Cricetulus griseus: one gene and its partner. The protein of the gene in region 1 interacts with the protein of each later gene in a pairwise test. Links are inferred from orthologs where the notes say so. Each region holds a gene or a part of one and is shown on either strand. Other genes may lie near its edges.

Evidence for each region.
Region 2: the proteins of Ubac1 (region 1) and Cpsf6 interact in a two-hybrid assay, tested with the Homo sapiens proteins (2 studies listed by BioGRID and IntAct). The link is inferred for Cricetulus griseus from reciprocal best matches to the Homo sapiens genes UBAC1 and CPSF6.

Annotation. Positions count from the first base shown.
Region 1 is NC_048599.1:137,394,340-137,404,904, reverse strand, and holds the start of Ubac1 (ubiquitin-associated domain-containing protein 1), read left to right. Parts: upstream 1-5,406; 5' UTR 5,407-5,551; coding exon 5,552-5,689; intron 5,690-10,003; coding exon 10,004-10,124; intron 10,125-10,565.
Region 2 is NW_023276806.1:138,940,854-138,951,314, reverse strand, and holds the start of Cpsf6 (cleavage and polyadenylation specificity factor subunit 6), read right to left. Parts: upstream 5,469-10,461; 5' UTR 5,372-5,468; coding exon 5,312-5,371; intron 1-5,311. UniProt on the Homo sapiens protein: Component of the cleavage factor Im (CFIm) complex that functions as an activator of the pre-mRNA 3'-end cleavage and polyadenylation processing required for the maturation of pre-mRNA into functional mRNAs.

The DNA of each region.
Region 1 (10,565 bases):
TGCTTTTGGCTCCATAATGATATTCCTCTAATCGGACAGAGACACAAGATGACCTGGTGTCCCCTTGGTCCCTTGAGGAAGGGACAGGGCCCTGCTGCACAGTTGAGGGCCCAGCTCCCAGATGACCGGAATGGTGGCTCTCATCTCATTATTTTGGGAGTTGGGAAATTACTATTCATGACAGTAAACTTAAAAATGAAATAATAAGTCTGTCCTTTTAGAAAGCAAATTGCAATGTCGGAATATTCATGAGCTGTGACTTCATGGGAAATGGCAGCCGCCGGGAGATTATCATTTGGTTAAGTCAGCAGCAGCAGAACTTAGGGAAATGTGCCTGTCAGTCTGAGGAGATGGTGATTAATACTTCCTGTTTGCGGCCCCTTAACGGGTGCATTTTAATGTAATAATTAATTAACCTTGGGGATCACTCACGTTTCACAGCTCCTGAGCTATAGCTGGGGGTGGGGGAGGCAGCCTCTTCTGCCCAGTTCCTGTCCACCCTGGGCACTTGATCCTTGGGACTGACCTCCTGAGGAGCCAAGAGGTCACAATTGAGCTCAAATCTCAGTGAGAGAGGACTCGTGTGTGTGTGTGTGTGTGTGTGTGTGTGTGTGTGTGTGTGTGTAGGATGGGGTGGCATAGGCAAGACAGTGACAGGAACACAATTCTGTGCTAGTAAATGCCCATGGCCTCTCCCTTAGTGCTGCAAATTGGGGGGTCCCCAAACTGGTGTCCACTTGGAACTCTAGGATGTGACTTTTCAGGAGAGGCTCTTTGTAGGTACATTGGTTTAGGATCTCAGATGACCTTGCTCTGGAGTTTGGGTGGCTCTATACCCAACAGTGGGTGTCCCCAAAAGAGGAGGGAATGAAAAGGGTCAGAGGGAAGAGGTCAGTGATTTGAACCAAGGTTAAGGACACCTGGGACTGAGGAAGCCACAGGAAGCTGGGAGGGGCCTGGGATGTCCAGTCCTACTGGGAACTTGACGTTGACGGCTGACCTCCAGCACAGGTGGGAAGGCATTTCTGGTGTTTTGAGCTACATACTCCCTTGCGGAGCTGTAGCTACCTCAGGACACTCTAACAATGGTTGACTATGGTGGCCAGTGTCTAGGCCAGCTCAGGGAGACCTTAGGGGAAGAATAGGAACTCTTTAGGAGTTGGATCCGAGGATCTGGTACTGGCTTTTGCAGTGAGCAGGACAAGTGATCAAACCCCTGCTTTCTCCTCTTTCTAGGTTTAAGAGTCTCCCACTGTAAAGGGTTGAACCAGAGATATACTTCTCAAACTGGATCCCTTTGGTGTACCCTAAGGGAGCATGGAAGCTAAAAAGTCTGCCCTTCTATTTCCTTCACCTGTTGCCTGGAAAGCACAGTCATCCCTCATAGCCCATTCCCAGCACCTTCCTCTGGCGGTGCTGCTCCTCAGGACTCTGTATAGTCCCGCTCCTGCAATGTGACACTGTTCCTGCAGCTCCAGCTCTGGGCCCTGCAGAGTATCAGTAGATTAGAAGTGGTCATTCCAAGAGTCGGGGTCCTGGGTCACACACACACACACACACCTGTACACCTGCTCATGCACTTAATGTGCACCACACACACCCATGATGACTGGCACGCCTACAGACACAAACATGCACACAGCCATATTCCCATATGAATTCATCCATACACATATGTGCACAAACACATACACATGTATACATCCACATACACGCTTGAACAGTATGCACACTCAGGCCACACACCCAGCCAACTCAAATACCTGCTCTGAGCTGGACAGCGGCTTACCTGCGCCGTCTAGTGGCCTGCTCTGGATACTACAATATCCCCCTTTTTATAAAATTTGTACCCTGGGGACTCCTTCCTGTTCATGGCTGGCAGGAACATCTGGATCAGACTTGATGCCTTTTTGCAGGGAGACCCTTCCCAGATTGTCCAGAATATCTAATGCCAACATAATATGCACTCTGACACTACATAGAGCTCAGTGGTTTAGGGCAGGTCTCCCCAGGGTGCTTGCCGAAGTAGAGGATGGTCATGGGAAAGAGGGCCATGATCCTGTCAGTCACCATTCAGGGATGCCAACCTCCTCCAGTGAATTCTTGGTGCTGGGGCAGAAGCCAATACCTGGTTGTGGCAGCCATCTCACCACAAGTCTCTGGCCAGGGCGAGCTCTTTCCTGATCACAGCCCTCTCTGGCTCCTAGCTGGGCCCTGGGGCCTGCTACACTCAGACCAACTGAGGTAGGAGCTGATAGCCTCTGAAAGTACCCATCTAGCTTGTTCTCTCCTTAAAAACCATATGGGTAGGAGTGTGTCCCTAAGAGTGTGAGTGTTGCAAGCTACAGGTTACTCGGACCCTACTCATCAAGTTTTGTGGGCTAGGGTCTGGGGTAAGGGGTCTAATGTGAAGGCAGTATGGCTTTGCCTAGGAAGACCTGTATAATGTGACGTCGGGACTTTATCCTGGTCCTTTTAGCTAATGGAGGTTCTGAGAGAGTCCAGAAACCTCTCCGTAGATTCCTTTCCTCTCCGAAGTGGTTAAAACTGATTTGAATTGCTTTAGTCAAGAGACTCAGACCCTTGTTTGGCCCACCTTAGGAACACAGGATCTACCAGACAGGGAGCTCCACTACCTTCCCCATTACACCCCTGGCATAAATAGCAGGTACACAATAAACACATGCCTTTCTGTGGGCTGGCAGGGAGGGGGCAGCATGGTCTCTGAAGCAGAGACTGAGACTGAGCAAGGTGCAGAATGACACTAAGTGGGGAGACGCTGAGTCTCCATGTAAGCCCCATGCCTGAACCATGCTGGTGAGGAGGGGGAGGACTAAGTGGGTGCTCCCTTGAATACTACATCAGCATCTACATAGCTTACCCATACCAAGAGAGCTGTGACCTCCAAGCTTTTGTAGCAAGGCTGACTTGGGAGGCTGGGCAGCCCATCCTTCTTCAGAGGGCCTAGTGGTATCTCTGGGTCCACATGAAAGCATGGGGCTGTTGGAGGAAGGAACTTGTTGTTGTCCACTGGGGAGGGACAGGGACATTAAAAGTCCACTGTCTCCACAGTTTTTACTTGATTACCCCCCCCACACACACACACACCTGGGAGGGGATCCTGGAGAGCCAGATCTAGCACATGGAAGAGACTTGTCTCATGTCCTGTTTGGGTACTCCCTCCAGCATCTCCAGTGGCAAGGTGCTCATATTGACTTTTGGTTCTGTGGAAATATTTTGCCAACACTCTCAGTATACAAATGCAACCCCAGGGGACACAGTCATGACAGGCTTCCAGGAGAAAAGTGTCCTAAGGTCTGAAGAATGAGCTGAGTTTCCTGAGCATTGGAAAAAGAGCAAGTGATTGGTTGGGGAGAAGCCCAGGGAACTTGAAGACCAGCTAGAGGGGCTTCAGACCCATTGCTCACAACCCCCTTTGCTCAGTTCTGGGACCACCTGCCAAGACTCAGATCTGTGGCAAGAGCCTTTACGTAAGCATTTCCACAGATCAGATGGGATGGACCAGGATGGATTATGGCACTCTGGAGCTAAAGAATACTGAGTGTTACAGCTCAGATGGAAAGGTATTCTGGCATTCGGGAGCCAAAGAATACCACAGGTCACAATAAGCATAGCAGCTTACAACCCTGATTCAGGGAAAGGCTTCCCCGGTTTATCAGCTCTGCTCCAGCAGGAGAGTGTTTCCCCTGCAAAGTTGTTACAGTTCTACTCCAGGAAGGCTTCCCCAGCGAAAAGTGTTACAGCTCTGCTCCCTCTGCCCCACCCAGGGTCATCTCTGCTCTGGCCAAAGAAGGTCTCACACAAACCTTCCTAAGAGATTTATTGGGAGGGAAGAATCCAGAAGAGTGGCTGCCCTCTGCCAGGCTGGCCGCCCAAACAGCCACAAGCTGAACAGACACAGGGTTTATATAGGGATTCTTAGGAGGGTGGAGTTTTTCCAGAGTGGGGATTGGTCAGATTTCAATCCCTGAGCTTAGGATGCCTAGATCTGCTCAGGGATTAGTTAGTTTCTACACAGGTTTAGGGTCAGATTTGGCTCTGGTTACAGAGCCAAACTGTGTTTCTTTCACTGGTCCTTTTTAGCCTTTTGGCTCTAGTTTTATTTAGGGCCAGGATGTATTTCTTTGACTGGCTCTGATTCCAGGGACAAAGCTGTGTTTCTTTTGCACTAGTTTCAGGGTCAGGGTCCATTTCTTTGGTTCTGGTTGCAGGACCAAAGTGTGTTTCTTTGGCTCTGCTCAGGGTGTGTTTCTTTGGCTGGATCATTTTCCCTACACTTTACCTGCATGGCTGTGTGGACGGAGACCCCAGGTTGGTGCAACACACCACTCTGTATTGTACTCAGCTAGAAATAGGTCCTACAAACCCTTCTGGGACTGTCTAAGGTCAGTAGAAACACTGCTCGTGACAGGATCTCATGTACCCAAAGATAACAAAGAACTTGACCTCCTGATCCTTCTACACCACCATTCCTGGCTCAATGAGAGTTGTTTATTGTTTGTTTGTTTTTTAATTTAAGAAGATTTTGTGAAGTGCTTTGCTTGCATATATGTATTAACATTACAGTCGAGCCTTTGGAAATCAGAAGAGGGCATCCAATCTCCAGGATGGTTGTGAGCTACCATGTGGATCCTGAGAACCAGTCCTGGAACCTCTGCAAGAGTAGCAAGTGCTCTTAAGCACTGAGCCATCTCTCCTGCCTGCGTCTCTCTGTCTCTCTGTCTCTCTGTCTCTCTCTCTCTCTGTCTCTCTCTCTCTCTCTCTCTCTCTCTCTCTCTCTCTCTCTCTCTCTGCTTTTCTAATGCAGTCTTTCATGTATTCCAGGGTGGCCCTGAACTCATTATGTAGTCAAGGATGATGTCTCTGGTTCTTCTGGTTCTGCCTAAGTGCTAGGATTACAAACACGTGTCAGGTTTATGCCGTGCTGGGGATCAAACCCAGGACTTCGTGCATGCCAGACAAGCACTTACTATCTGTGACACATTCCTAGTGTCCTGACCGAGACGTTTCATGTTTTTTTCCTGCTAACTCTGAGATCGTGTGTGCTTGACAGACCAACACAACAGGTATCAAGGCTGGTGGTGTTGAAGGAAAGAAGCAATGGGGAACTACAACTCCCGGTAGGCGCCTGACCTGCTTCACACATTTCTGTTAATGGGCCCGGGAGCCTTCTTGGGAACTACATCTCCCGGCATGCTCGTTGCACTTACGTATTTCCGGCGCGGCGGAGGCTACAGCGGAGCACCAACTAAAAAAAAACCACATCTCCCGGCATACTCACGGGCGCACATTACGCACTTCCGGCGCGGCTGCGATAGCGCGCCCCCGGCGGCTACTGCGACGGCAGCAGCGGTAGCGAGGGACAGCTCCGGCCTCTTCAGTGACGGGTGGCCAAGCCGACAGGAGCTGGGGGGGGCGGCGGCGGCCAGCGAAGGAGCGCGCGGCGGCCCGGCCCCGCCCCTGGTCCTCCCTCCAGCCCCGGTGACCTTCACGGGTTCGGGCGGCGGGCGCAGGCTCGGGCGGCGGCGCGATGTTCGTGCAGGAGGAGAAGATCTTCGCGGGCAAGGTGCTTCGGCTGCACATCTGCGCAGCTGACGGCGCCGAGTGGCTGGAGGAGGCGACCGAGGACACGTCGGTGGAGAAGCTCAAGGAGAGTTGCCTCAAGCACGTAAGGCCGAGCCCCTTACGACCCAGTTCCATCTCTGCCTCCTTCCTGGAAACCAGAAACCTAGACTCCTGTCCCGGATTCCGCCCGAGTCCCATCTCCACCTAGACACCAGACCTTCGCATCCGCCTGGGACCCGACCCTGGAGTCGGCTGGGCAACCTGCAGCACCTAGCTGTCGCTCCTCCGGGTCCGGGCAGCGCCTCCCGCTCCTTTTCGGAGAGAGCCGCAAACCTAGGATAGAGTCCGACCCGGCTAATGGGAGAGCTTTATTTAATTTCTGCAACATCCTGAGGTAGTGAAGGCAATGAGTGAACGGAGACTGGGAGAGAGAAAGCAAGCGCTCATAGTTTTCTAGTATTAGGGCTTGTTTGTTGTGGGGATGAGGTTTTTGTTTTACATTAGCTTTCCCCAGAAGCTGAGAAGTAACTAGATCCCTTTATTAAGAGGGCCCGCACCTTGCCCGAGAGCCAGCTGCTAGGAGCCCCTGGCCTGGGCTTCGCTCTTAGCAGCAGTCACTTAAAATAGTGTCACTCTGGGACAAGTCCCTGGGCTTCTGTTTTCTGCTGGGGCAACAGTTGATTGAGTGGCAAGGTACAGGACTAGGGTCTTCTCACCAGCAAGTGGCTTTTGTGAAGTTTACTTATTTGCTGTGAGCTTTGTACTATAGTTAGCTTCTTTTAGCTTTAGGTAGTTAAGGCTTGGGACTGATAATTGAAACTTTCCTGTCTCTAAACTGCTTTCAGTTAAAGGTGAGACAGATGCTTGTTAGATCCTGGTGGCCTATGGAAGCGCCATACCTGACATGATTAGTGCCAGAGTTTATGTTAAAACTGGCCACAGCTCTTCAGCAGGGACTCTGGAAGGTTGTAGTAAAATGCAGCACTGTGTTGCCTCTAAAGACAATCTCCCAAGTTTTCATAGCAGCTCCTTGGAAAGGGTAGTTTAAAATCTCCTTTATGGAGTCAGTCTGTAGTGACAGAGGGCACCAGGAGATCTGGTTCAAGTACCTTCTACAACACACTAGATGTTGAATTACCATGGGTCTTCGCTTCTATGGTTCACCTCAAGGAGGCTCACATGGTCAAGGGCAAAATGTATTTAGACCGCTTTCTTGTTTTTCTTCTTAACAAGTCACCGTGGTCTTGCTATCTAGAAAACCCACAGGCTCAACACAAGCCTAAAGGTTGAGGACTTCTTGGGCATCTAGACTGTACTCTAGCATTTATGCTTGTCTGGTACTGTGCTGTGTCCTCTGCCACCTGGTTGGGTTCCTCAGGGCCAAGCTTGGAGTAACTCCAAAGCCAGCGTAAGGATTGAGGAAGTCAATGAAAATGTGTTGTCAAACCCAGACCACATCAACATGGGATGACCCCTCCATTGGTGTGGCATTTTGCTTAACTCACTAATAGTGTGGATTTACATAATCATTGTGGCAATATTTTATGAAGGATGAGAAATGATTCACAAATACTTACTAATAAGTTCCAGGAGCAGTGGGGTAAATTAGGCAGATGATTTTGATATGATGCTAATTATTTGTGATATTTAATATTGCACTTGTATCATTTTGAATTGTGTGTGTGTGTGTGTGTGTGTGTGTGTGTGTGTGTGTGTGATTATCCTTCTTTAAATTGAGATTTTTATTTTACTATGCATCTCCAGGTATGAGGACTGAAGCAGCAGGGGGTTACAGCATAATTAAATAACAGAACTAAAGAGCTGAGCCATCAGAACTGACTCTCCTCCAGGTCCCATCGTCCCTAGGAGTCACAAAGCAGTCATTAGAAGAGAGGGGTTTCTACAACTGCTGTCTTAACTTGTCCTTTCTCCTCACCCTCCTGTGCACACTCATACTGGAGTTATTACTATTATTATTTCTTCTTTCCTCTCTACCTGAGGGGTAAGATATATAGTCTTTAAAAATTTTTCTCCTACAGCACTCCTGGGAGTCTACTGCTGTATCAGGGAGGGGCTTGTTATTATAGTTCTTAAAGAAATGTATTTGTTTTTTGTCTTTCCTTTTTGTTTTATCCAAAGTGACATCCCCATGGTATTCCCCAGCTTCCATTGCCTAAGTCTTGGAAAGGGACACAGCAAGCCCTCTTTCCTAAAGGGGGTTAGTGGTGGTATGCAGAGACAGGTGAATCTCTGTGAGTTTGAGGCCAGTTTTGCCTACAGAGCCAGCTAGGTCCAGATAGCCAAGGCTGTTACACAGAGAAACCCTGTCCTTTGGGGGCTGGGCATAGACTGTTTTCAATCTGAGACTGATGGAGGATTCTAGTGTTCTAAAATTCGAGGATCTGGGGGAAACACATGCTTCAGCTTTTTCTTCTGGTTAGCATCCATATGTATAGAGGCCCTTTGTTGAGTGTGTATATCATGGTATCAGAGATGCCTTCCAGAACATCCAGGAAGGGCCTGAAGAACCCTGTGTCCCAAATGTGCTGTGTGACCCATTCTATGTGGGATGGGCCAAAGCACTAGTGAGCCATCTCATTAGGTTTCTTGGGGGTCTTTCTTTCTTAGTTTAACACCGAGGGACCTATAGCATCAAGAAACAGTTACAGCCCTTTTCCTTGTTCTGAGTTTGGGGAGGGCCTGCAGCTGACTTAGTATGATGTGGTACCTGGGCCTGGGAAGGCTGTGTGATGCTGGGCAGTTAAGTAGTGAACTTGTGGAAATGTACAAACTCAGGTGAGTATACCTGGTGTTGAACACATAGGCAGAGTGAATCCTCATCTTTGTCATGTGGCAGCGACATTGTGTTCTTGGTCTTTGTCTACTTGATAGTCAGGCAGATGATGGTACGGCCCAGAGGCAAGCAGGACTCTATCATTGGAGATTGTGTGTTTGCATTCTGTATGGGCGAGTGCTGGAGCTTGGCTGAGATCATGAGCTATGTTTGCCAGGCCTCTGCCTACAGTCTGTAGAAGGGGTTGCTCTGGTCACCTGCAGGGTCCTTTTGGAGATGCTATTTTCCTCAGTACTACTGATAGTTTGCTTTCTAGTTCTTGTCTACCTCCTCTGACTGACACTGTAACTAGGTTTCTAGGGCCCTAGGGACATAGACACAGCTGTGAGTCCCCTGGGCTACTGTAAGTTGCATCTGGATTATGGTTATCACTTGGGCCCAAGGCAAAGCTGAGGCCAGTTGTGCACTGTGCTCTGCTGAGGACTTTGTGGTATTCCTTGCGCAGGAATCGTGCTAGCTCCTGGAAAGCAGTCTTCTTTTGGTGCATTTCCTCTGATTTTCCTGTGTCTGCTGAAGAAGGAAAAGCAAATGCATAAAGCAACTGGATCTTCAGATTCTCAGGAAATCACAGACATATTTTCATCTAAAAGTCATTTTCCATGGCCAGGTGTTGGTGGCGCATGCATTTAATCATAGCACTCAGGAGGCAGAAGCAGACAGATCTCTGTGAGTTCGAGGCCAGCCTGGTCTACAGAGTGAGTTCCAGGACAGCCTCCAAAGCTACAGAGAAACCCTGTCTCAAAAAAACAAAACAAAACAAAAGTCATTTTCAAGATCTTTCCAAACTAAAGTGATTTGGGTTACAAGTGCTTATCATCAGTAGGATCTTGTGTTCCCAAGGTCTTAGCCATCCCCAGGAGTCTACTGTGAGCTGGTGATAAGCTTAAAGGCCTGGAGGGATCAATGCTTGCTGACATTTCACTCAGCCTTTTTTTTTTTTTTTTTTTTTTAAATCATCTGTGGGGATTCTTTACTGTAATTTATGCTTTGTCTGGGCTAATAAGAAAACTCAATAATTCCATGAGCTGGGGAGATGGCTCAGTCAGTAAAATGTCTGCCGTACAAGCATGAGGACTTTGGTTTGGATCCCCAGCACCTATGTAAAAGCCAGTGGCAGCAGCACATTTAATCTGGGCATTGACTTGGGGTAGGGGTGGGGCAAAGACTGGAGGATCTCTGGAGCTCATTGGCCAGTCACCATCGTCAAATTGATGAGATGAGGCAGGTTCAATGAGAGATGCTGTCTCAAAAATAAAGTGGAGAGAAGTTGAAGAAGAGCCCTTCCTTAGCCTCTGGCTGTCATATCCTTGTGGACACACATATACATACCCACGTGAAAACATATACACTCGACAAGTATAAACCGCGCGCACACACACACACACACACACGCACGCACGCACGCACGCACGCACGCACGCACGCACGGAGAGACACAGATAGACAGACACAGAGACAGAAAAAGCCTTGATAATTCCAGGTGTGGCTTGAGGTGTTATGCTCTGTTACTCCTATCACAATTCAATTCCTATTTATATATCTGTGGCTTAATTCTTCCTCCAGGGTGCTCATGGGAGCATAGAAGACCCCAAGAGTGTGACTCACCATAAGTTAATACATGCAGCTTCGGAGAGGGTGCTGAGTGACACCAAAACTATCTTGGAAGAAAACATCCAGGACCAAGGTAAGAAGGCCTTGAGAGACAATATCCAAAGCATAGAGCCTGCGTCCCAGTGTCACCCAAATGGTGCTTTTCTGGATTTAGACAAGAGCAGGAGAACCAGATTGACTCTGGTTTTGTTTGTTTATTTATTTATTTATTATTAAAAGAAGTGTGGGTATTGGTGTACTTGTGAAAAGTAGCAGAAACCTGACAGACATCTGAGAAGCCAAATGAGAGTGCTTGCTATGTTTAATCCTGTTTTAAAGCAAAACTAGACTCTGAAGCTTTGGTGGCTTTATTTTAGTGTTGGAAGTGCTCACAGTAGCTGTTTCAGGGTCTGAGTGAGATACTTCTGTTCTGCATACCCTCCTCTTCATTCATGCTTTGCTATGGGAGAAAATCTGTTTTCTGTGTGTCATGCAGATGAGGACTTCAGACTGTCATCCTTTATGATGAGCTATA
Region 2 (10,461 bases), on another chromosome or scaffold:
CTGCAGGCCAGAAGAGGGCACCAGATCTCATTACAGATAGTTGTGAATTTAACTCAGGACCTCTGGAAGAACAGCAAGTGCTCTTAAACTCTGAGCCATCTCTCCAGCCCCCACCCCATACATTTTTAATACCACAGATAAGTTGTATTTAATGTATACCATTATTGGGATTATTCTGATAGAGATATTAAAAGTATTCATTTTCCCTGATAGGCCCAAACTGGTTTTGGTGTTCCTAGAATCACAGTTAATACCATATGTACATTGTTAGATACTACCAGTAAAGGACAGCACCAATTTCAAAATACCCTTATTTTAAAAAAGTATTAACAGCCATTCCTTTTAAAGAACTCTAAGAGATGGGGGAGTTATACCCTCATTACAAAGGTTGTTCAATGCCATGTGAAAAATTAGCACATAAAACCCAGTAGCAAGAGACTGGTTCCAACATATCCCCAACCCACTCAAGAACACCAAAAACCTGCAGATGTTTAAGCCTCTTATATAAAATGGTGCAGTGTTTACCTATAAACTATACTTCCTCTCATATACTTTAATCTCTAGATTTCTTAAAAATTCTAACACAGTAAATGATTATGGAAAAGTGATTATGCTGTACTGGTTTAGGGAATAACGGTAAGAAGTCTGTACATATGCAATGCATGTGCAATGTCACCCAGGCAGTATTTTAGATCCCAGCTGAATTCTTGGATATAGAAAATGTGGATCCTTTTTTTCCCCAGAAAACATTATTTTATGAGTATGCTAAGCATATTAAATGTTATAATTCCTGCAGAATGCTAAATTAGATCTTAACAGCCCCTATTGATTTATCTTTCAACTATTTTCATTAAGTTATCATAAGGTTCCACAAGAAAAATAGTTCATTTACAATAAACAATGACTAAGTATAAATTGAAATGATTCAACAAAATTTTACAAAAGAGGACATCTAAATCCTTAATTCCAAAACTGACCCAACCCCAGTCATTACTCCATTTACTGGTTTTTTGTTTTTGTTTTTTTTTTTTTTGGTTTGAGATAGGGTTTCTCTGTGTAGCTTTGGAGCCTATCCTGGCACTTGCTCTGGAGACCAGGCTGGCCTCAAACTCACAGAGATCCACCTGCCTCTGCCTCCCGAGTGCTGGGTCCATTTACTTTTAAAGTAAGTAGATCAACTAAATCAGCACTGCTTACGATCAATAACCCACAGTTTGACAGACCAGATACTACTAAATTCTACATTAAAAGCACCTGACCCCCAGATAAACAAAATATATACTATTTGGATTACAGAATATAACTTGAGCATATCTAACTTTAAAAAAAAAAAAACAACAGGATACTCAAAAAGTTTTGGACTTTGGGGTTTGACAGATGGCTCAGGGGTTAAGAGCACTGTCTAGAAACCTGGGTTCCTAGCACCCATATGGTGGCTCACAACCATCTGCAACTCCAATTCCAAAGGATCTGATGCCTTCCTCTGACCTCCACTGGCACCAGGAATGCACATACAAATACATACATGCAGGCAAAAACACTCATACACATAAAAGAATAAATCTGGAGGGGAGCATTCTGCTTTCTGCTTAACTGAAAGTCAGTAGTAATAAATGCACAGATTCAGTAGTTCAAATTCTCCTTCCATGGAGAAACTATTCTCCATTTGGCCACATCCAAAACCTTTTAAGATCCAAGCTGCCCATATGATTCTATGCCTTCTTGTCTTCATTCTCCATTCTTAAAAATCACCTAGTACAGAAAGTAAATGCACTTAGTCTCATCCCATCCCAAATTAAAGCGTTTAATACTCATGTCTCATACTTCATGCAATCAATATTGTGCTTTGCCAAAATGCAAAACAAGACCAGTGACTACACACAGAATTTCAGAGAATACAAAATACAATTAAAACTGCAGCTCACAGCCAGGCGTCGGTGGCTCTTCCTTTAATCTCAGCACTCGGGAGGCAGAGCCAGGCTCTGCAGACCAGTCTGGCCTCAAACTCAGAGATCCTGCCTGCCTGCCTCTGCCTCCCAAATGCTGGGATTAAAGGCGTACACAAACACAGCCCAGAAAAATTAAAAAAAAAAAAACTAATATGTATAAATGTTTAGAAATCAAAATAACTAAAAATTGCTAATGATTAGTTCTGAAAAATATTTGCTCAACTACAATCAAATATCATATTGGTAACTACAGCAGCTAGTAGAAATAAGGCTACCACCTAGTAAGAGAAAAGAGAATAACAGGGATGCAGGACAGGAGTATAAGGTGTTTGCCTATCATGTGCAAGGGCCTGAGTGGAAGGAAAAGAACTGAGCCTGATGGCTAGCACAGATTTGGGATCCCAGCACTGGAGAGGCTGAGGCAGCAGTTGTACCACAAGTTCTAGGTCAACATGAGCTACAAGACAGAAAAACAAGCAAGAGGGAGATTAAATCAATCAACAACTTTGTTGTTGCTTCTAATTCTGGGTAGGATCTCATGAAAACACTTCAATGGTAGTAACATCTATAGAAAACATGACAAATCTCAAAATAACTGACAATCTTTTGGTGGCTACTTTTTTGTTCGGGAATTCAGAGCAAGCACTAACATACCTCTGGAGTGAACATACAGCTCAGTGGTAGAGTGCTTGCTTACCTAGATGTGCAAGGGCCTGGGTTCAGTCCCCAGAGCTGCAAACAAGGGATTTTGGAAAAAGCCTCTACTTACCCTTCCAATTAATCTATCTAAACCTACAAAGATTTTCCTTGTAAAATTACACAACCATGTAGCAGACACATGTCTGCTACAAGTCAATGAAAAGCTACACTTATAAAAAGGAGGCCTACAAAGTAGTTCCTCACTGGAATCAAAAAAGTGTTATCTTTTCTTGACCTCTTGCTAGCTAGCACCACATCCAGTTATATCATAAGTATACTGTCCTTCCTAAATTAAGTATTCAACAGTCTGAACATATTTCATAGAGATAACGAAGAAAGCTTATCTTTCTTTTCTTTGGGAGACAGGCTCTCACACTGTAGTCCAGGCAGGCCTCAAACTCAAGAGATCAACTGTCCTCTAACCACAGGGCCACCTTCTCCAGCCTCTAAACACATCTTTTGTTCTCTATTGTGAGCAGTAGTTTTAATTGTACTTGGTGTTCTCTGAAATTGTGTAGACACTAATCTTGTTCTCCATTTACTATTTAAAATAGGCATAGTTTTATAAGCTTATTTTGCATTTTGGTAAAGCACAACTTTGGTTGCTGGGATTTAAAGTTTGTGCCACCATGACCAATTGAGAAACCTTAATTTCTAAAACTGTATCCCAATTCCTCCTTACTGAGAGCACAAAAACAAAGCAATATGTTCTCTTAGTGAAAAAAGTGAATGATAGCCAGGCAGTTGTGGCTCACACCTTTAATCCCAGAACTCTGGAGGCAGAGTCAGGCAGATCTGAGTTCTGAGTTTGAAGTCAGCCTGGTCTACACAGTGAGTTCTAGGACATTCAGGGATACACAGAAAAACTCTGTCTTGGGAAAAAACTATTTTTAAAAAAAGCTAATGAAGACTGTTTCAAACTTTTATTTTTCCTTTAGTCACAGTTATGACAGTGTTTTGGAAATGCTACATGTCATGATAGATGAAAGGGGGGGGGATCCGGAGGTCTTAACTAATCTACTATTTCTGTAGCACTCAAAAGAAAATTTCTAAGTTGTAACTAACAACTCAGGCACGATAAAAAACAGATTTTCAAACTTAACGTTTTATTGCAACGGGTTAATTACATTTAAAAATATCTAGTGTCTAAGTCAGCAGTAATTAAACCCTATCAAAATTTGCTTCTCTTTTTCTAATACTTAAACCAGAGGCACACTGTCATTGTTGAAAAACAAAGCAAGTAAGGATTTAAGAGTTTCCATTGTTTTGTTTTTTTAAATCTTGCATCCCTAGTCATAAATACGATTATTAGAAGGTAAGCTATTAATCAATTGCATCTTATTAAGCTTCTCCTCTGAACCTGGGACATTTTTATAAATAAAAAATTAAAAAGAAAAAACCCACAGCTTTTAGCAGCACTGTCGTTGGATGCAACTTGGGGAAAAAAAAAAGTGACGTGAACATACAAAATGCAATAAAAATATGGAGAGGACTAAGAGGCTAAACGTTACTAACTCCGGTAACTAGACCTGTCCAAGGATGTTCACCATCAGACATCCCAGCTAGTTCTAGGCGACCGTGGCCGGTGAGACCGGAAAACCTGATACTTCTCACTTTCTCAAGCCTTTCAAATCGTGAAGTAGGGCCCCACCGGGCTAACACTCGGCTTTCAAAACACAGTCACCTCCACGACGGCTCGTAAGCAAGCTATCACACGGTAAGAATGTCGGGTGGACGTTCTCCGTTTCAGCCTCCGGGATCTGTTAGCGAGAGACCACCATCTTTTTGTTCTGTCCAACCACCGAGCATCCAAGTCTTTAGCGCAAGCCATTTATCTTCCCAGATTATTATTTCCCTTCACAAAGGCCAAGGACCGGGCCTCAAAGGCCCCCGCAAGCCCTCGGTGGCCACGGCGGGCCATCGCACCGTGAGACTTTTTCAAAATGAACTCAGTGGGTCCAGAAGTCAGATGACTTGTTGCAGACGTACCCACACCTAAGCCGCCTTCCCTCCCCGCCTCGGGGACCGGGGCACCACGCAGAAACCTGTCGCCAACGCGAGCAAAGGAGCCCGGGAGACCCGGCGCGCGGGATACAAAGGGCTGTGAACGCGGCCTTCCATGAGGGCGACCGTGCGCCGACAAGAAACACAAAATGGAGCGACGGGAGGAATCGGAACCCAGCGGCGGCAGGGCCGGGATGGAGGCGACGGGCGGGCGGGCGGGCGAGCGGGCGCGCGCCGGGCCAGCCAGGGCTGCTTCCCCCCACCATCAGGCGGGCGGCGGGGGAGGGGGCGCGGCGGCCCGTTCTCCCCGCCCCGCACACGCGGCCTAGCTCGGCGGGAAGCGCCCGCCGCCGTAGCCAACAATGGGGCGTGAGGCCGCCTCGAGGGAAGGGAGGGCGGGCGAGCCGGCGAGCGGGCGGCTGCACGGCGACCGGGCCCCGCGCTCCAGAGCCCGCGGCCCGCATAAACGACGCGCGAGAACAAGGGGTGAGGGGGCGCCGCGCCGCGCACACACTCACACAGCGGCGCGGCCCAGAGGCGCCAAGGGCGCACGGTCTGCAGCCGAGCCCGGCTCGCGGCCCTCCCGCGGCGACCCTGGTGGCGAGCGTCCAGGCCGCCGCAGCGTCGGCGTCCGTGGCGGAGCCCAGACCCTCCCGTACCTGATTGAACTCTTCGCCCACATCCGCGTAAATGTCTATGTGGTCCACGCCGTCCGCCATCTTCCCTCGGCCTGGGCCGCCGCCGCTGCCGCCGCCTCCTCCTGCAGGTCGGCCCGCCGAGGCAGCAGCAGCGGATCTAGCGGTGGGGGCGGGGCGCGATACGTCACTTCCGAGGGGCGGAGACCAGGGCGTAGCGGCCCCAGCGGGCGGGCCTGGGGACCCGGCGGAGGGCTCGCTGCGGCTCCCAGGGCGCTCACTGGTTCTTTTGTGTGCTGGTTTAAGCGGCAGGATGGCGGGGTGGCACAGGAAATTGCCATCCCGCATGCCGGGACAACCCGCTTCTGTCCGGAGACTACGGTTTCAAGCTGCTTCTTGCACTTTTTTCTTTAAAAAACAAAAAATTTACGTTTTCAGCTTTTCCTATTTTTTTTTTTTTTGCTTCTGAGGCTTCGAGAGGTGGGAGTTATTATGTGTACACAATCAAAAGCAAAATGTGATGGCCGGGGCAATGTCTTATTTCTGCTTCTAAAAGACAACCGAATTTTGTGTATTTGTGTACCTTGAGTTATTTGTGTATTTCATGCCTGCATCTCTTTTCTGTATACAGTCGGTTGTCTTTTCGCTTCTTCCCTTATCCTCCTCCTTCCTCCCCCATTGCCCTTGCTTTTTTTTTTTCCTCTTTATGTGTGCAGAAGGTTTTCTTTCGAGGCTTCTAACTTCCTTTTAGAGCTCATGCAACAAAGCAAACATATCTTAAATCTAGGAACTCCTGAATTCAGAATGCTGAGCTAGAAGGGAAATTTAAAAAGGTGTCCAAACATCCCATTTTACAGATAGAGAACTAAGGCCTAATAGAACATAAGTGATTTAACTAGGGGTTATGTGGCTCGTAAAGGTACACACACACCTTCTTGCACCGGTACGTGATTCAGAGACCTCTCTCTTATTTCCAACAGCCTCACCCATTTCTTTCCTTCCCATTGAAAAACTCACCAGGCCTGGCTCATTCAGGTAAAGATCCTAGCTGTGTTTTGTTTTTGTTTCAAGATCCTAGCTGTGAAGGCTAGCACTCTCATGAATCTCATGAATAAAAGAGAGAACCAACTCCTATTAAGTAATCCTCCATCTACTCAGCGCCTCTGGCTACCCCCAACCCCACCAACAAATAAATGAATATTGGTTTGTTTTTTAAAGGGCACCAGATGCAGATTGGTCTGGAATCATCAATAAACCAAGTAACATCTGTTCTTGTTATGGCTATTAAAGCTTGGTGGCTACCAGAAGGTGGTGGTGGCATGTGCCTTTAATCCCTGCACTCTAGAGGCAGAGGCAGGTGGATCTCCATGACTTTGAAGCCAGCCTGGTCTACAAAGTGAGTTCCAGGACAGCCAGGGCCACACAAAGAAACCCTGTCTTTACCCCCCCCCCAAAAAAAAAGTTTTGATGATTTTTCAAATGTAACTTCAGAGTACCTTTTTACTTGACAATTTTCAAAATTTGAAAGATTGGTGTAAATTAGAAAGGAAAAATCTAATAACTCTAGCTCTTATTTTTACTTTTACTTTTTTTCATTGTTGTTTTTTTGAGACATGGTTTCTCTGTGGCTTTGGAGGCTCACCTGGAACTAGCTCTTGTAGATCTGGCTGGTCTTGAACGCACAGAGATCCACCTGCCTCTGCCTCCTGAGCTCTGGGATTAAAGGCGTGCACCACCACCACCTGGCTAGGTTTACTTATTTACTTATGCTGTGCCTATGCATGTTGTGTGGACAGGTTCATGCCATGGTTCATGTATGGAAGTCAGAGGATGGCTTTGGCTTTATGAGTCATTTTTCTCCTTCCATTGTGTGGATACTTTGATCTTGATTTTTGTTTGTTTGTTTAAGATAGGGTTTCTCTGTGTAGCCCTGGCTATACTGGAACTCACTTTGTAGACCAGGCTGGCCTGGAACTCAGAACTCAGAGATCTGCCTGATTCTGGCTCCCAAGGGCTAGAATTAAAGGCATGTACCACCATGCCCAACTATCATCATAATTTCTTGATGGATGTTCTAAATTTTTTTTTGTCTCAAGTCTACATGGAATAAAAAGTCCAAATGTCTTTAAAAGAAATTAAACAATTGTGTGTTACATGTTGCACATAAACTGTCTTTCCACCTCCCTGTGCTAGTTTCTTATTGCTACTGTAACAACTTAGTAACAATGCCAGGGCCTGAAACAACACAGATTTACTATCCTACAGTTCTGGGGGTCAGAAGTCCAATATAGGTTTACAAGGTGGCTCCAGTTACCTCTTCTGTTGCTGTAGTAAAACACTCTGACCAAAAGCCACTTAGGAGGAAAGGGTATTAGGGTTCTCTAGAATAACAGAACTTATAGAATGTTCTCTCTCTCTCTCTCTCTATATATATATATATATATATATATATTCGAGGCCAGCCTGGTCTATAAAGCTACACATAGAAACACTGTAACACTGTAGTAATAATAGAAGAAGAAGAAATTCCCACTTCAAATTAAGCAACAATCCCTCACAGATATGCCCTGACTTTTGGGGTTTTAGTTAATTCCAGATGTGGTCAAGTTGACAACCAAGAGTGCCATCACAAAGGATCTTTATTTTTAATGTTTATTTTTATTTCATTTGCATTGGCATTTTGCCTGCATCCATGTCTGTATGAGGGTGTCAGATCCCCTAGACCTGGAGTTACAGACAGTTGTGAGGTGTCAGGTAGTTACTCGGAATTGAACTCGGGTCCTTCTTTAGAGCAGTCAGTGTTCTCAACCACTGAGCCATCTCTCCAGCCCCCACCAAGGTTTTGGTTTTTTGTTTTATTTGAGACAGGGTTTCTCTGTGACTTTGGAGGCTGTCCTGGAACTAGCTATTGTAGACCAGGCTGGCCTCGAACTCACAGAGATCAGCCTCCCTCTGCCTCCCGAGCACTGGGATTAAAGTTGTGTGCCACCACCACCTGGCTCCACAAAGGGTTTTTTTTTTTTTTTTTTTTTTTTGTATTATACTTTCAGGTCTATCATTGAGGGATGGCAAGACAATGGAGGAATGCTGCTTACTGCCTGGCTCTTAGGCTCATGCTCAGCTTGGTAGTTTGTTTGCCTACTTGTTTTTATACAGGCCGGGTCCACCAGCCTAGGGATGGTGCCTCCCAGACTAGACTGGACCCTCCCACATTATTCATTTGTCAAGATGGCCTCTCACAGACCTCGGCACAGAACAATTTTATTTAGGCAATTCCTCAATTGAATGTCCTATTTCCAGGCAGCTCTGGTTTGTGTCAAGTTGACAAAAAACAAGCAGCCCAAGGCCTAATGAAATATTTTAGGAAGTCTGTGATGTATCTGCCTATTTTCAAAAATACAAGACAGGGCTCTCTTTTCTTTATCTTTTTCACCTGTGCAGCCATCAAAACCTTCTGGTTCAAATAATTGTTGTACAACAAAACAGGCAGCTGTCTTAGTTCCAATCACAAAACTAAGGAGAAAGCAACCAATTGCCTCACTTAAAAAAATTCATTGCCCAGTGGGTAGTGGTGATGGTTGTGGCACACGCCTTTAATCCTAGCATTCTGGAGGCAGAGGCAGGTGGATCTCTGTGAGTTCAAGGCCAGCCTGGTCTACAGAGTGAGTTCCCAGACAGGCTCTAAAGCTACAGAGAAACCCTGCCTCAGGAAAAAAAAGAAAAGAAAAAAAAAAAAAAAAGAATCCTTGGGGAAAAAAAACAGTGATTGTTTTGCTGAAGGGACATTGTAGCCATACTATGACCTAGGACACAAGATGCATCAGGCACACCTGAGGCTCTTGTATTATGTGTATTGCAAATGATACATAATAAAGGACTGGAGTCATGGGGGTGTGTAATGTTCTTCTTTAGTAAGATGTGTAAATTAAATTATCGACCTTGGTATAAGGAAATAGTTTGTGTAACAATCAATAAATACACCTCTGTATAGCTGTTCGGGAGTTTAGTCCATCAGAGAGGCTGGCCCTTCCTGCTGCTACATAGGCCTTAAAATTTCATCTTGGAGTGCCTTCTTTCTTCCGCTAACCCACACTACAGGGTGTACCCTGACGCTTTAATTTTGTGAGTTTTTTAAAATATATTTTAGATATTAACTCCCAGTAAGATAAAACACTAGGAAGACTCTTCTCCCTGTAGGCTGTGTCTTCACTCCATTGTTTCTGTTTGCTGCACCAAAGCCTCTTTACTTTATGCAAATGCGTTTGTCACTCTTGCTTTTATTTCAAGGACTACTAGAGTCTTTGCAGCACGCCTTTCATCCCAGCTCTCGGGAGGCAGAGGCAGGCAGAGCTCTGTGAGTTCGAGGCCAGCCTGGTCTCCAGAGCCAGTGCCAGGATAGGCTCCAAAGCTACAGAGAAACCCTGTCCCGAAAAAAAAAGAAAAGAAAAGAAAAGAAAAAAAAGGTCTTTGCAAACACTGTGTCCTGAAATGTTTTCCTCTAGTACTTTTGTCATTTCAGGACATACATGAAATCTGTTTTGAGTTGGCTTTCATGCGGGATCTGCTTTTCTTCTTCTGTAGGTGGATATTCATTTTTCATTTCTGATGACAGAGCCCATCAGCTAACTTCTGATTGGTTCCTTGCCACATGGAGGTATCTGGCTTCCTAGTGCTTCCTTGTGTCTAGGAGGTCAGGTAAGGTCAGGAAGCTCAGCACATGCCACTGAGTCAGAGGCCTACATCATGGCTGCCAAAGCAAGGGCTGGGTGAGGGTCTGGTCCCTTCAGTATCAGGGTATATTATTTAATGTTCATGTGATGTACGGTTTCTATTATCTCTCTGCCTACTTCTTATTCCATCATGGTTTATTAGATATAACCAATCCCATGTCTCTAATCCCAGCACTCAGGGGGCCGAGACAAGCAGCTCTCTGGGAGTTTCAGGACAGCAGGGCCACAAAGTGAGAACATGTCTGGGAAAAAAATTGAAAAAAGGTACTATCTTGATTATTTTGTATTTGTCAAAACTTGCTTTATAGCCTAAACTGTCATCAGTTTTCTATTTTGTAGAAAGTTCCATGAGATGCTGAGGAAAATATGTGATCCATGGCTACTGGATAAAATATTCTGTGGGTGTCTGTTAAATCCCTTTGGTCTTCCGTGAAGCTTAACGGA